Lonchura striata: one gene and its partner. The protein of the gene in region 1 interacts with the protein of each later gene in a biochemical or structural test. Links are inferred from orthologs where the notes say so. Each region holds a gene or a part of one and is shown in the gene's direction. Other genes may lie near its edges.

What was found. The genes of interacting proteins can lie anywhere in the genome.
Region 2: the proteins of GSK3B (region 1) and MUC1 form a complex in vitro, tested with the Homo sapiens proteins (2 studies listed by BioGRID). The link is inferred for Lonchura striata from reciprocal best matches to the Homo sapiens genes GSK3B and MUC1.

What each region holds. Positions count from the first base shown.
Region 1 is NC_134604.1:27,532,789-27,539,729, reverse strand, and holds the start of GSK3B (glycogen synthase kinase-3 beta), read left to right. Parts: upstream 1-3,936; 5' UTR 3,937-5,054; coding exon 5,055-5,142; intron 5,143-6,941. UniProt on the Homo sapiens protein: Constitutively active protein kinase that acts as a negative regulator in the hormonal control of glucose homeostasis, Wnt signaling and regulation of transcription factors and microtubules, by phosphorylating and inactivating glycogen synthase (GYS1 or GYS2), EIF2B, CTNNB1/beta-catenin, APC, AXIN1, DPYSL2/CRMP2, JUN, NFATC1/NFATC, MAPT/TAU and MACF1.
Region 2 is NC_134635.1:1,755,645-1,763,316, reverse strand, and holds the start of MUC1 (mucin-1), read left to right. Parts: upstream 1-4,614; 5' UTR 4,615-5,209; coding exon 5,210-5,252; intron 5,253-5,957; coding exon 5,958-6,553; intron 6,554-7,089; coding exon 7,090-7,163; intron 7,164-7,266; coding exon 7,267-7,409; intron 7,410-7,646; coding exon 7,647-7,672. Other genes in the region: THBS3 (thrombospondin-3), read left to right, coding at 680-819, 973-1,031. UniProt on the Homo sapiens protein: The alpha subunit has cell adhesive properties. Can act both as an adhesion and an anti-adhesion protein. May provide a protective layer on epithelial cells against bacterial and enzyme attack.

The sequences.
Region 1 (6,941 bases):
AAAAGCAAAGTTAAAGTTCAACCATAACTATTGAGTTTGCCTATGCCAATCAAACAAGAGACAAACCATTACAATGTCTCACTAAATTGTTCTGTGGATAATTGCCTTAGCAATATCAAGGAGTTAGATACAAGACTGGTAGATCCATTAATATAATTTAGATTCTCTTGTATAGCAAGGTTCAAAAAAGCCTTGAATCATTGCATGCTTATCAGACTAGCAAGAGGTAGGCCTGTAACCATGCCTTCTGGTGGAATGACCCAGCAAGAGGTGCAAGGTAAGCAAACAGAAAATCTTCCTGCTGATCACTTGGAAAGGAAGCAATGCAGAAAGAAAACAGCAGGAACTCCTGTGCAGGAACATGTCTACCAGTTCCTGTTGGAGCAGGCTTATTCAGTGTCTGATTAGAATGATTGAAGTTTATTGTTGATATATGAAATGCAAACAGACAAAAGAAAACCCCTAAAGAAGCAAACAAAACCCCTCCCCTACTCTTCTCCTGAGCTCCTTAGAGCTTTTTACCCAGAAGTGGTACCAATTTTCCAATTCACTGCCACCTTATGGCATTTCAGAGAGATAACACCTCAGTAATTTTTCTCGGACACTTCACATATTCAGGCAACCTCCTTGGGCACTTGCACATTACAGAGACATGGCAGCTGTAAAACTGCCCCATGCATCCAGACTTAGAACAATATTGATGCTTGGGATGCTGGATTATAATAGCATGTGAAAACTGATAATTAAAGCGTCAATTCTATTTATATTTGCAGATTCTAAAGGGAGGTCATTTCAGCAGCCAAGGGGCCAAAAATAAATATGGACTTTGCAATGTTGTCAAAAGAGAATCTTTCAGTCTAAAAAGGCAACTAGCTCACTCATGACTCTCACAAATTATTTTGTCAGAAGATTTTTGAAATTGATGATGAAAGCTTAATAGATGCCCTTATTGTGTGTTTAAGGTTTTTCTGAGAGTAGTCTTAGTTCAGGAAAGAATCTATGAAAAGACCAACAGAAATTGGAGGTGCTTTATGCTTTTCCATCCCCTCAAATATATCACAATTTTCCTTTAAAACACAGTTGTGGTTTCCTAGTGGATAAGAAGATGCTACAACTTGAATGGACGGGCTTTGGAGACTTGGTTGCTTAATTATGAAATGGAAATATGTGCAGGATTGCCAAATATGAAATACTGCAGCTGGGATTTTTGTAATATGCATTCCCCCTGTGGATGGGTAGGCTTGGTATTCAGAAAAGTGTTATTAGAAGCAACCAAGTTGTGGTTTTGATATAGATTACTTTGGTATTGAAGAGGAAACAGGGTGATTTTAGAGAAATAAACCAGATAAAGGTTTACCAGATAGAGGAAGACAAGCAAAAACTTATTTTCATGCAGTAGCTTGTTTTCTGTAAGTAAATGAAGTTGATTTCCCATTTTTTTTATCAGGTTGTAGATTCATTACGAAGCTTTAAGGGACATTTTTCAAATGGGCACCATCAGTATAAATTATGCATCGGTCTGACTTTTATTTACCACTATCATGACTAACAGCAAATGTTGAAAAACAAAGAGCTCACCCTCCCCCACCTGCTGTTTTTTCAGACTGCCAAATTTTTCAAGAAACAAAGCTCGGCTGTCTCTCCGAAGTCCGTTCTCCTGTTTACATAGTAATTTGAAAGAACTTTGTCAGAAAATAAGAAAATGTGATTTGTGTTAGCAATTTGATGCCCAAAGCCAGAAAAAATAATGACTGGAATGCCTGGTGGTACATTTCAGGTACAAGAGAGCTGGCCACTGCCTAGTGGCATATTTACTTTGTTGTTTTATGTAAGAATGCTCTTCAGAGAGCTAACCCAATCTATAACCCTAATTTTTGACAACTGCTCTTCCAAACAGGAGAGAAAATGTCATTTTCACTGTTGGAAGCTCATTGAAGCTGTGTCTAAGTAACATTTGACACAGTGGTGTCTCAGAGGGGGGTTGGAACAATGAGTTATGGTAGGGTGGCTTGGGGTGGCTGCAGTAGCACTCCTATGCTGTGACTTCAGTGTCTTAGCGCTTGCTAGGGCACACCACTCTCACCTGTCAGGTTCCCAGCTGTAGAGCTGCACAGGTAGAGCCTGAATAATCAAACCTTAAACAGTCCCATGGCCTTTGTAGTAGGTAAAACCACTCATCATTATTCGGCAGGAAAAAAGGCTTCCAGCAAGCCAACCACCCCAGGGTGAGCAAAGTGCTGAACAGGACCATTTTGAGAGACTGGGTTTGTTTTTGGCTTTAGAAAACAGCTCTTGTAAATGATAAATTTCAGCTGCCTTTGGCCAGGTCTTTGTTTGGTCACATAGCAATAGTGTTCAGAACAGGGCTGCAAAAAAAGTAAATCTGGCAATATTTTGATGCCTTAAAAGAAAACAGCAGTCTAAGTCTCTAACACTGGCAAAATGTTTCTACTAGTCCAAGTTATTTTGTTTGTGGTATAAACTATTCTGGCAAGAGCACTTTTTTTTTTTTTTCTTTTTAATGGCATAAGCAAGTGGTGCTCAGTTTTTGCTGATGTCTGCCGAGTAATTTCACTGAGTTCACAGCAGGCAGCAGTGCTCCAGTGCTGGTTGTGCCAGGGCTGGGAGCTGCTGCCCCCAGGGATGCTCCAGAGCCCTGAAGAAGGACAAGTTCTTCCAGAACAGTGCCTGGAACTCCAGCCAGGGCCAAGCTCAATCCACTGTGGTGGCAGTGGGACCTAACTCTGAGGGTGTTTAGTGCCTCACTACAAACTGCGTTTCCTGTGAGGAAGCCTTGCTGTTAACAGCTGAATTGGGAGGACTTTCTATGAGAGCCTTGATCTTCTTTCCCCTGCTTGGCCCAGTTTGTGTAGAACGGGTTCACCGTTGCTTCATGAACCACATCCATGACTGTTCCAGCCTCTTGTCTCCTGCCAGAAATCTGCAGAGGGACTGTCCACAAGAGCTTGTCAGCTTCTCACGCAAAAGGGGTGGCTTCAAACTGAAAGAGGGTAGGGTTAGATAGATACTCAGAAGAAATTCTTTACATGAGGGTGTTGAGACATTGGAACAGGCTACACGGAGGAGTTGTGGTTGCCCCATCCCTGGAAATGTTCAAGGCTAGGTTGGATGGGTTTGGAGCAACCTGGTCTAGTGAAAAGTGTCCCTGCCCATGGCAGAGGGGTGGGAACTGCAGGGTCCTGAAGAGCCGTTCCAACCCAAACCGTTCTATGATTCTATGACAGCACTGCGCGCGTCAGCGCCATTTCCTTCACAGCTCAGTGAAGCAGAACCGCAACATCTCTGCGCCTGACGGGTTTTAGGCACAAACCCCACGATTTCGAGTTTCCTTTCGTACCGCCCCAAACCCGCTCCCGGCGGGACGGGCCGCGGGGGCGCGCCTGAGGGGCGGTGCCCGGCCGCGCTGCGCATGCGCGCTGCCCTCCCCCGGCCCCCACAGAGGCGCGCGGCCGTGCCCCGCCGGGAGCGGGCGCGCCCGTGGCCCTGCGCCTCGCGATTGGTCCCCTGCAGGCAGCCTCATCGCCGGCAGCCAATCGCTGCCCGCGGCCGCTCTCCGCCTCGGGCTGCGGCTCGAAGACGTCCCAGGGCTGGGTGACGGAGGCAGCGCGGCCCCTGATTGGCTCTCCCTCCTCGGCTCCACTCGGGTTGGCCCGGCGATGGCCGGAAGAGAGCCCTCCTTTCCATTGGCCGCCCGCCCGCGCTGCTAGGGCGGCGGCGGCGTGCTCCGATTGGGTCTCCGCTTCACTTCGGGGAGAATCGGTCGTGCCCGCCGTGGTTCCGTGATTGGTTCCGCCCAGTTACAGGCATTCTTGTAACGGCCTGAGGATTGGTCCCGATAAGGCTCGGGCGTTTCCGTAACGGCCTCGGGCCGGGGGCTCGCGGGCGCGCCGGGTTCTTCGGCCGGGTATTCACAGACGGCGCTTACGGCTGCTCCGCAGCGTGGGGCGGCGGCGGGCACGGGCGGCTGCGCGGCTTTGGCGCACGCACAGAGCGCAGCGGCGGGAGCCCGGCACGCAGCGGAGGGAGCAGCGGGGACAAAGGGACTGATCGGCAGGAACTGGGAGGGGGGCCCGGCGGGAGACTTCAGCCGGGCGGACGAGTCCTATGTGCCTTGGACGCCTGGGGAAGCAGCAGCAAAAGCAGCAACCGCCGTCAGCGCTCTGAAGCCGGGCTGACGAGGAGCAGGGAAATCGCCGCCGTCATGGCCCCTGCCGTTGCCGCCGGCCGCCGGCCGCAGTGCAGCGTGCCCTGCCTGAGCCACCGCCAGCTGCCCGTGCGGGCGGAATGAGCGGCCGCACCGCCGGAGCCGCCGCCGCCTCAGCGCCGCACTGAGCAGCAGCGTCAGCGAGCAGCGAGGCCGCCCGACCGCCTCACCCCCCTCCGCGCGCCGCGGATCCCGCCGCCACCACCGGATCCTATTGCGACTCGGTGCCGCATCGCCTCCGCTCGGCTGTGCCCCGAGATCCCTCCGCCAGGGAAAAAAATAGTCCCGTTGCCTGCCGCCTCCCTCAGAGGCGAGGGGGAAGGAGAGGAACGGGGAGGGGGGAAGGAAGAGAAGGAAGAAAAAGAAGAAAAGGGGAAAAAAAGAGCTAAAGCAAATAAAAGGAGAGAAGCGCGGCGGCGGCGGGATCGGAGGAGCCGGGCCGCGAGCCTCCGCCCCATGTGACTGGCGCCCGGGGTGGGGGCAGCGAGGCCCAGCGAACCCCCCTCGCTCGGGAGCGGCGCCGGGGGGAGGCGGCTCTCGGTCCCACCGGCGCGGCCGGGAAGGATGGTCGTGTGAGGAGCGGGCGGCGTGAGGAGGAGCAGGAGGAGGCAGGAGAAGAAGAAGCACCCGCCGGGCGGCAGAGACCGAGAGGGGAGGGGGCTTCCCCGGGGGGGGAAGGGGGGGTCCCGGCGTTTCATGTGGCGCGTCCCACCCGTCTCCTGCAGCTGAGCGAGCGAGGGAGCGGCAGGCGGGCCCGCCGGGGCGAGGCGGAGGGCGAAGGCAGGAAGAGGAGAGAGGTGATCGCCGTTGGGGCAGAGCGGGAGAGACCATGTCCGGGCGGCCCAGGACCACCTCCTTCGCGGAGAGCTGCAAGCCTGTGCAGCAGCCCTCGGCCTTCGGCAGCATGAAAGTCAGCCGTGAGTATCCTGCCCCGCTCGGGTTGGGGGGTGAGGGCCGGCGAGGCTGCCCCCGCCCTTCGCCCAGGCGGGGAGCGGCGAAGGGAGCCTGGCCCCAGCCCCGGCCTCGGCAGCTCCTTTCTCTCCCCTTCCCCCCCCATTAACCTTGAATAGGCGCACGCCGCCGCTCCGTTCGGGGCCTGCTGGACGGAAAATCCCGATGGGTTTGTCCTCGTCCTTAGCTCCTGGTCGCTGCCAGCGGCCTCTGCCTCATTAAAAAGCCATTTTCCCCCCCCTTTGTGAAACGGATTGGAAGCTCCGTAGTCTCTATTTCCTTTTCATTCGCCCCCTCCTCCCACCGAAAGGAGGAAACGAATTGCGGGCACACAGGTATGACCGTGACATTCACGTTCATTATGTGGTTTTTTTGGAGTTTTTTTTTTTAAAAGCACTCCTGGCTGTTAAGGGGAGAGAGCATGGAAGGTTTTTCCATGCACCCGTAGTTCGGGTGTGAGCACCTTTTAGTCCAGCCCATTAAAAAAAAAAAAAAAAAAAGGAGGGGGAGGGGAGCTTACAAAAGGTGTCTCTAATATCCTCCAGGCTCTGGTAAAATGCTCAGAAGAAGGCATAAGAAAATGCTCATTTTGAAATAACTACTCCATGGGCTCACATGTCAAGCTTGGCATTATTTTTCCAATTTTCTGATCAGAGGAATATTTTTTAAGAACGAGGCCTGTGCTTTATTCTGCACAGACATGTCAGAAATGCTTAATGTGTGCCCATTCTTCGTATTCTATCTGATGGGGTTAGCTGGTTTATGTGAATTAAAAATATTAATTAAACCTGCACAAATGTACTGTGCTGATACAAAAAGGCCCAGTTCTGAGTTGCTATAGTTCAGCTATGTGCTTATCATATGGAATTTCTTTACTCCTGATTTGAATATGGTCACATTAAGACCTGAATTGTTCTTCCAGATTCATATGAACATAGTAGTTTTTAGAGATATCTTCTTTTTTCTTACGGAAATGCAGGATGACATTTTTATGAGACCAGGAATGCTCAATATGCATTCCCATTCAATTGATCTATTTGATATTCGGTTAAAGCCACACCTGACATGGCTCTGCGGGTACATGCCTGCATCCAGCGAAGGGGCTAGTCCATTTCATGCCAAAGCACTGGGAGATTGTGAGCTTTTTGACAGATGAGAAATTTTGACAGGTTTTTTGTACTGAAATGTCTTCCCCTGTGGTTGAAACCTTGAAGAGACCATTTGGCTCAGGTGCTGTAGTCCACCTTGTATCTGCATGATCAGTGCAACCCTCCAAAAACCATGGGTGCAGTTAACCTATTTTAGCAGCACAAAAGCGTAGGTTTGATCAGGTCCAGCATTGGTATTTATTAAGGATTATTGATCTATATGGAGGAGAACTGTGGGTGACTCCATTTTAATTTACTGACTTCTTTATGTGCCTGTGGAATGGAAAACGGGTCTTGTTGGTCACTATTTCTGCAGGTGGCTGTCTAAACCAAGCGAGACCTCAACCTGTCATACTCAGCAACTAAATATGTCTTATTCAGGCTCTGCAGCTTGATTCTTGAAAGGTCATTGATACTCCTTTCCCGTTTATTTGAGGTCAAAGACTAGACAGATGCTTGCCTGTGAAGAGGGTGCTAACTGATGCAGACGAACAAGTTTGCAAATATGATTCAATCCCAAGTGTATAACAACTGAGGGAGAAACAAAGGCCGTAACATAAAGCGCATGCACTTGTGATAACCCCCCCAGTCGCTCTAGTCATGTGCTCCTGGTCCTT
Region 2 (7,672 bases), on another chromosome or scaffold:
AGGATTCTGCCCTGCAGAAGCACCTCAGGGGGTAGCAGGATGTCCATGAGGAGGCCTCGTGCCTCCCGGGACCACCCTAGTGAGGGGATGCCGGCCGTGCGGGGGATGCAGCCCTGCGGGACCACCGCAGTGTGGGGATACCGGCCGTGGGAAGCAGCCAGCCCCGTGAGACCACCGCAGTGGGGAGATTTCGGGCGTGGCGGGGGCTTCTGCCCGGTGGGACCGCAGCCGCGTTTCTCCTTTAAGGCTCCCGCCGGGGCGGCCGCGGCGGGGGGGCTCCGCCGCCGGGCCCTCCGCCCCCCGGGCCCCCGGGGCCATTGTCCCGTCGCCATGGCGACCCCGCCGGCGCCTTTCACATGCAAAGCGCCCGACAAAAGCGGCGGGGCCGGGCCGGGGGCGGCGCGGGGGGCTTCAGCCCGGCCACGGCGGGGGGCCCCGGCCCGAGGATCCAGCCGGTCCGGTGCCCCCGGCCCGAGGATCCCGCAGGGTGCGCCGGTTTCCTCCCGGCGCTACCGTCCCCCGGTCGGGATGCCCGGCGCTACCGTCTCCCGGTCGGGATGCCCGGCGGCCGGTGCTGGTCGTGGGGGGGTCCCAGTAGGATCCCGCTGTTGGCCCCGGTCGGGTACCGGCGGGGTCCCGGGGAGGGCTCGCTGACCGGTCGGGCCCCGTTCCCCCGCAGGGTCCGTCTGTACGAGGGCCCGCAGCTGGTGGCCGACTCCGGTGTGATCATCGACACCACGATGCGCGGGGGCCGGCTGGGGGTCTTCTGCTTCTCCCAGGAGAACATCATCTGGTCCAACCTGCAGTACCGCTGCAACGGTGAGCAGGGCCCCCCGGGACCCCCGCACCGGCCCGGCGGCCGGCCGAGCATCCCCTCGCTCGCCCCTCGGCGGGCTCAGTCCCGGGCCGGGGGCTTTACCGGGGCTCGCTGCCCCCGCCGGCTCCTGACGCCCCCCGCGCTGCTCCCCACAGACACGATCCCTGCCGACTTCGAGCCCTTCCGCCGGTTCCTGCTGGAGGGACGCGAGTGACCGCGCCCGGCACGGGCCTCCCCCGCCGGCGGCACCGGTGGCGCTCCGGGCTCTCGCCACCGGCGGCACCCGGGGGCGCACCGGGCCCCGCCGCTCCTCCCGGCCGGGCCCCGTTCCCGGCCCCCCGCGGACTTTGCACTGCCAGTACCGGGGCCCCGCAGTGCCGGGGCTCCCGCCACGCCTGCCCCGGGCGCTCCGGTCCTTGCCCCACGCCTGGCCATAAAGTTTTGAGTGTTTTCTAACCCTGCGCGCCCGGTCCCTGGGGGTTCCCGCTGGCCCGGGAGGGCCGTGGGTCCCCCCCCCCCGTGCTCGCGGCTCCGTCCCGCGCCGTCCTCCCGGTGGTCGCGGGGTTGGGTCAGCGCCCGGCCGGTCCCACAGGCGCAGCCCGCGGCGGCGGGAGGCCGGGACGAGTGCAATATTGGTGGGCGAGAGCACAACACTGCACCGCATCCCGGCCCTCCCGCCGCCCCGGAGGGAGCGGAGCCGCCGCCGCCGCCCGGGCCGCTCCGTGGGAACTGCGCGGCGCGCACCGCGGCTCGGCGGCAGGGACCGGTCGCCACGGCGACGGCTGTCCCGGCAACGCGGCGGAATGTGCCCCCAACCCCCCCCACCCCATCCCGCCCGCCCCGGAGCGCGCGGCCCCGGCACCGGCCCGGCCCCCCCGCCCCGCGGCGGCGGCGGCGGCGACAATGGGCGCGGCGGCACCGGGCCCCTCTTAAAAGGGCAACGCGGGGGTGCCCTCCGGTGTTGGGACCGGGACCGCGGCTGGGGCCTGTGCCCGTCCCCGAGGCCGCGGCGGGAGCGCAGCCGGCTCTCCCCGGGAGTACCGGGACAGGTGAAATCAGCGCTGGCTGCTGAGCGCCTCCTCCCGCGGGGAAACGCGGTTCCCGTTCCTGTTCCGGTCCTTCTTCTGCTCCCTCTCCGATCCCGGTCCAGCACCGTTCCCGACTCCGCTCCTGCTCCCTCTCCCGCTCCCGTTTCGCTCCAGTATCGGTCTCACTCCCGCTCTGCATTACTGCAGTCGATTCCCGATTCCGCTCCCGGTTTCTTTCCAGCAGCGTTCCCGCTCTCGCTCCAATCCCAGTCCCTGTCACGCTCCTGGTCTCACTCCAGTAGAGGTCCCGTTCCCCCTCCCGGTCCCGGTTCTGGTCCCGGTCCCGGTCCCGGTGCGCGGCGGGAGCGTCGTGCGGGGCGGTGCCCGCCAGGGGGCGCCGCAGGTTCGGGCGGGGCGGGGACGGGGCGGGCTGGGACCCCCGGGCACGGACAGGGCGGACACGGGGATTTACCGGGCACGGACAGGGCGGACACGGGGATTTACCGGGCACGGACAGGGTGGGCACAGGGATTTACCGGGCACGGACAGGGCGGACACAGGGATTTACCGGGCACGGACAGGGTGGGCACAGGGATTTACCGGGCACGGACAGGGTGGGCACAGGGATTTACCGGGCACGGACAGGCTTGGCACAGGGATTTACCGGGCACGGACAGGGCGGACACGGGGATTTACCGGGCACGGACAGGCTGGACACAAGGATTTACCGGGCACGGACAGCATGGGCACAGGGGAAACACCGGGCACGGACAGGGTGGGCACAGGGATTTACCGGGCATGGACGGGCTGGACACAAGGATTTACCGGGCACGGACAGCATGGGCACAGGGGAAACACCAGGCATGGACAGGCTTGGCACAAGGATTTACTGGGCACGGACAGGGCGGACACGGGGATTTACCGGGCACGGACAGGGCGGACACAGGGATTTACCGGGCACGGACAGGCTGGACACAAGGATTTACCGGGCACGGACAGCATGGGCACAGGGGAAACACCGGGCACGGACAGGGCGGACACGGGGATTTACCGGGCACGGACGGGCTGGACACAAGGATTTACCGGGCACGGACAGCATGGGCACAGGGGAAACACGGGGCATGGACAGGGTGGGCACAGGGATTTACTGGGCACGGACAGGGTGGGCACAGGGGAAACACCGGGCATGGACAGGGCGGGCACAGGGGAAACACTGGGCATGGACAGGGTGGGCACAGAGGAAACACCGGGCATGGACAGGCTGGACACAAGGATTTACCGGGCTCGGACACGGTGAGCACAGGGGAACACCGGGCACGGACAGGGTGGGCACAAGGATTTACTGGGCACGGACAGGCTGGACACAGGGGAAACACCAGGCACAGACAGGGTGGGCACAGAGGAAACACCGGGCACGAACAGGGCGGATGCAGGGATCTCACCGGGCACCATGGGAACCCACTGGGCATGGACAGGGTGGGCACATGGAACCCACTGGACATGGACAGGGTGGGCACCCCACTGGGCATGGACAGGGTGGGCACATGGCCTCTCTCCCAGGGCTGGTGGGTGACCGCAGTTGCTGGGACCCCCTCAGCCCCCCCCTCGTGGGGAGGCTCAGAGCAAAGCCCCCCGAGCTGAGCAGGGTGGGGGATTCGGGCTGGAGCAGAGGGCAGCAGGGCTCAGCAGCACTGCGTGGGGAGAGCCATTCCCCTGGTGAGGTGTAGAAAATTGCTGCATCTCCAGGACGGTTTGGCTGAATTGAAGCAAGAGATCTCTGAAGTTTGCTCTTGGAGAATGAGGTTTTTTGGGGATGCAGAAGGGTCCTGCCTCGTGCTCCAAGCATGTGGCAGGGTTTGAGAGGGTGGGGAAGGAGAGACAAAAGGATGCTCAAGGAGATAGGAGGATCCAAGAGAGGGGAGGGAGTTCCAAGAGAAGGGAGGGAGTTCCAAGAGACTGCGTGGCCCCTCGAAGCCCCCTTTTCAAGGAGCTTCAAGGTGGGTTGGAACAAGGCTCGGGCCAATGGGGTGCCTGTAACCCCACTGATGTTTTAGGGGAGGGAATACAGGTGTGGGGTGAGCCGTACATCTTTTGGGGGGTGAGATGGAACAGTCTTCCTGACCCCAGGACCCATCCGTAGGCAGGGGCGTTGTCCGGCTAGCTGGGAGAACTGTTCTCATCCTGGCTGGGTTATTTATGGATAATCCTATTTATCTATCTTCCGCAACAGTGAGGCCTTTTGGGAAGGAAATGTTTGCCCAGAGCTGCTGCCCGCACGTGGCCGGCCTTGCCGAGGCTGTGGCCACCGTGGGGGGAGCAGGGCGCTGCTGGGTCCCGTTGCTGAGCTGACACCCAGGGCATCCACCCTCAGCCTCAGTGCCCAGGCCCCCCTCTCTGCTCCCCTTCTCAGCACCACCTCAGAACCCTTTGGAGTGACAGCAGTGGCACTTTGGCTTCGCGTGAGGCTGGCCAGGAGCCGAGCGTGGGGACCACGACCTCCCCAGGGACTGGGATCCTCACAGGAATCAGCACCCTCCTGAGAGATTGGGGCTCTCAGGAATTCCTGCAGGGCAGGGGCAGAGTGGGACCACGGTAGCTTTTGATGCCCGTCCGTGCCAGGAGCACAAGTCACCTGCGCCCAGGCACGGGCGGTGCCCGTCACCTCTGGGGTGGGGCATTGACACCCAGCACTGGCATCACCCGTGTCCTGGGACGGGGCTTTGTGCCTGCTAGGGGGGCCCTGGCACCCGGAGGGAGGTTCCTGGGAGGTACTGGGGTGTCGTGGGGCCCTGGGCTGTACCTGCGTAAGCGTTTCGGGGGGGTCACCGGTGTTTATTTGGGCGAGGCGATGCCCAGCCGGTAATGATTAACCCTGGGCTGAGCAGAGGACGAGGCCCCTCCTGCACCAGGGGACTCCGTGCCCACCCCGTGCCCCCCACCAGGCTCTGGAGCCCGTGGCTCATCCCAGGCAGATGCTGCTCCCACCCCTTCCCCGGGATGCCCGGCTACCTTCGCGCCCCGTGCCCCCGCCCGCGGCTCTCTGCCCGTGGCACCGGGACGCTGCCGGCGGCGCCTCCCCGAGCCAGGGAGGCGCGACAGACCCAGCTTGGGGGGGCTGATGCCGCGGGGGCCCCGTGGGCACGGTGGCACCCCTGTGCCAAGCGGGGCAGAACGACCCCCCCTGCCCGCAGCCGGGCGGGGCGGGGCCGCCCCACCTGCCCCAGGTGCTCCATAAAGCTCCGGCCGCTGCCGCGCTGCCAGTTCCGGATCCCTGCTGGACCGAGGCGTGTGCCAGCCACCGGCTAACGGGAGAGCAGCCGCTGCTGAGCCCCAGGAGGCGCCGGGACCCCCGGACAAGCCCCACATGGCGTTCCCCGTCTTGCTGCTGCTGCTGGTGGTGGGCACAGGTGAGGGGCTGGGGGCAGGGAGAGAGGAACGGGATCCCTTTCAAAGCGGGCACCGGGGGATCCTGGACCCGCTGGCATCCTGGCAGCAGCGCCGTTGTCACCTGTCCCGTTCTGGCTCTGGGGTGCAGCGCCCCGGCTGTGCCCAGGAAAGCTGGCACCCGGGGGCTCAGAGCGCGGCCCCTCTGCCGCGTCCGAAGGGCTCGGCCGAGGGCCGGGCTGTGCCGGGAGCAGCCGGAGCAGGCTGTGCCCGGGGCTTGCGGGCTGGAATGCAGGTGTGTCCCGGTGAGCATCCGGACCCCGGGCTCTCCTCCAGTGCTGCCTGCAGCACCCCTGGGAACTTGCCCGGGAGCTGCCTGTACTGGCCCCCAGCCAGTCTGGAGGGCACAGGGGCAGCCCAGCCTGTCCCCCACAGCAAGGGGGGCTTTGTTGGGTGGCATGCCTGAGCCCCCCGCATGTCAGGGACGCCCCAGGGTCTGCAGTGCTGGGTGTGGCACCGGTGTCAGTGCCCAGCCAGCTCCACCTGGACCCTCGGTGGTGCCACAAGTGCCCAGCCGTGGGGTGTTGCTGGTGGGGTTAGCCTCGTGAGCAACTGGCTCTTGGTTCCTGGGGGTTGTGGTGCTTCCCACAGCGTCCAGCTGATGAGCTGTTTTGGGTGAAACCTTCCCTAACTGGGCTGCAGCCGTTGACTCCTGGGGTTTCCTCCAGGTACCCGTGCCACGACCACCGAGACAACCATGGAGATGGAAACTACCGAAACGACCACCGTGGAGATGACCACGGAAACCACCAGCACCACCTGGCTGCCAAATATATACCCCAAAAGCACACGGGGCAGCCGGCCCCAAACCTCCGTCATCCCCTATGCCACTGCATTCCCTGGCACAAACACCACGAACTTCCAGTTTGGCAACCGCTCCATGTCCAACGGCACCGTGGTGCCCGTCCACAGCAGCCCAGCCATCCCCCATGCCAATGCCACCTCCAACAGCAGCAGCTGGGTGCCCCACTTTGGCACCAACGGCAGCTCTGCCACCCCCACCACCACGCACTTTGGCAGCGCCAAAGGCAACGGCAGCACCAGCGCTCAGGTCTTTCCCACCCAGATAACGTCCGAGGGCAGCACGGCTCCTGGGCAGACCCCCACCCGGGGTGGTCCCAACCCCAGCAAAACCCCAGCTGGCATCCAGCTGCTTGTCCGTGTCCCGCTGTCCTTCCGCATCATCAACAGGAGCTTCAACGAGAGCCTGCGAGACCCGGCATCGGAGGAGTACAGGAGCCTGAGCCGCACTGTCCTGGCCATGGTGAGTCCCAGCCCCACCAGCAGAGACCCTGGGCTGGCTGGGAAGGATCCCCCTCACCCTGGGGCAGAGATTTGGGGCCATGCTGGGAAGGATCCCCCTCACCCTGGGACAGAGATTTGAGGCTCTGCTGGGAAGGAGCCCACTCACCTTGGGGCAGATGTGCTGGGAAGGAGCCCCCTCACCTTGGGGCAGAGATTTGGGGTGTGCTGGGAAGGAGCCCCCTCACCTTGGGGCAGAGATTTGGGGCCATGCTGGGAAGGAGCCCCCTCACCTTGGGGCCGTGCTGGGAAGGAGCCCCCTCACCTTGGGGTAGATGTGCTGGGAAGGAGCCCCCTCACCCTGGGACAGAGATTTGGGGCCGTGCTGGGAAGGAGCTCCCTCACCTTGGGGTAGATGTGCTGGGAAGGAGCCCCCTCACCTCGTGGCTTTCCGTGGAAGCACCTGGAGCATCCGTTCTGCCAGTTCTGCATGGAGACAGGAAAGGGGGGTGTCTGTGTCCGTGGGGAGGTGGCCGTGACCTCAGTGCTTCCTTCCAGTTCGAACACGTCTTCGGCTGCACGGGCTGCATGGGCACGCAGACCTACACCGGGTGCAGCGAGCTGCGCTACAGGTGAGCAGCAGCAGCGCCAGCAGGGCTGCTGTCCTGCAGTGTACCCCCCCGGTTTGTAGCTCCTCAGGGGGCAATCCGGGTGCTGATGCCTCCTCCTGTGCAGCCAAGGCTCGGTGGAGGTCCAGTCCACCCTCGTGTTTGGGAACGGAAGCGATGCCGTCACTCCCGACGCTGCCGAGCAGCGCCTGAGGAAGAGCCTGGACCAGAATGGCTTCATCATGGGCCTGCAGCTGGACAGCATCCAGAGTGAGAGGCTGGGAGGGAGGGGATGGAGCCTGGGCGAAGCCTGGGGGGCTCCAGAAGCATTGCCCTGTCCTGGTGGAGGCAGGGGGCTGCTTGGTGCTGTGATGGGCTTGGGGATGCAGAGGGTGGGGCCAGCACAGTTTGCAGCGCCTGTGCCAGGCAGGAGGGCTCAGACCCCGGTGTCCCATCCCAGGGATCTCTCAGGGCTCTGTCCCAGTTCTGCCTGTGGTGCAGACACAGCTCTGCTCCTTTCAGGCTCCGCAGCA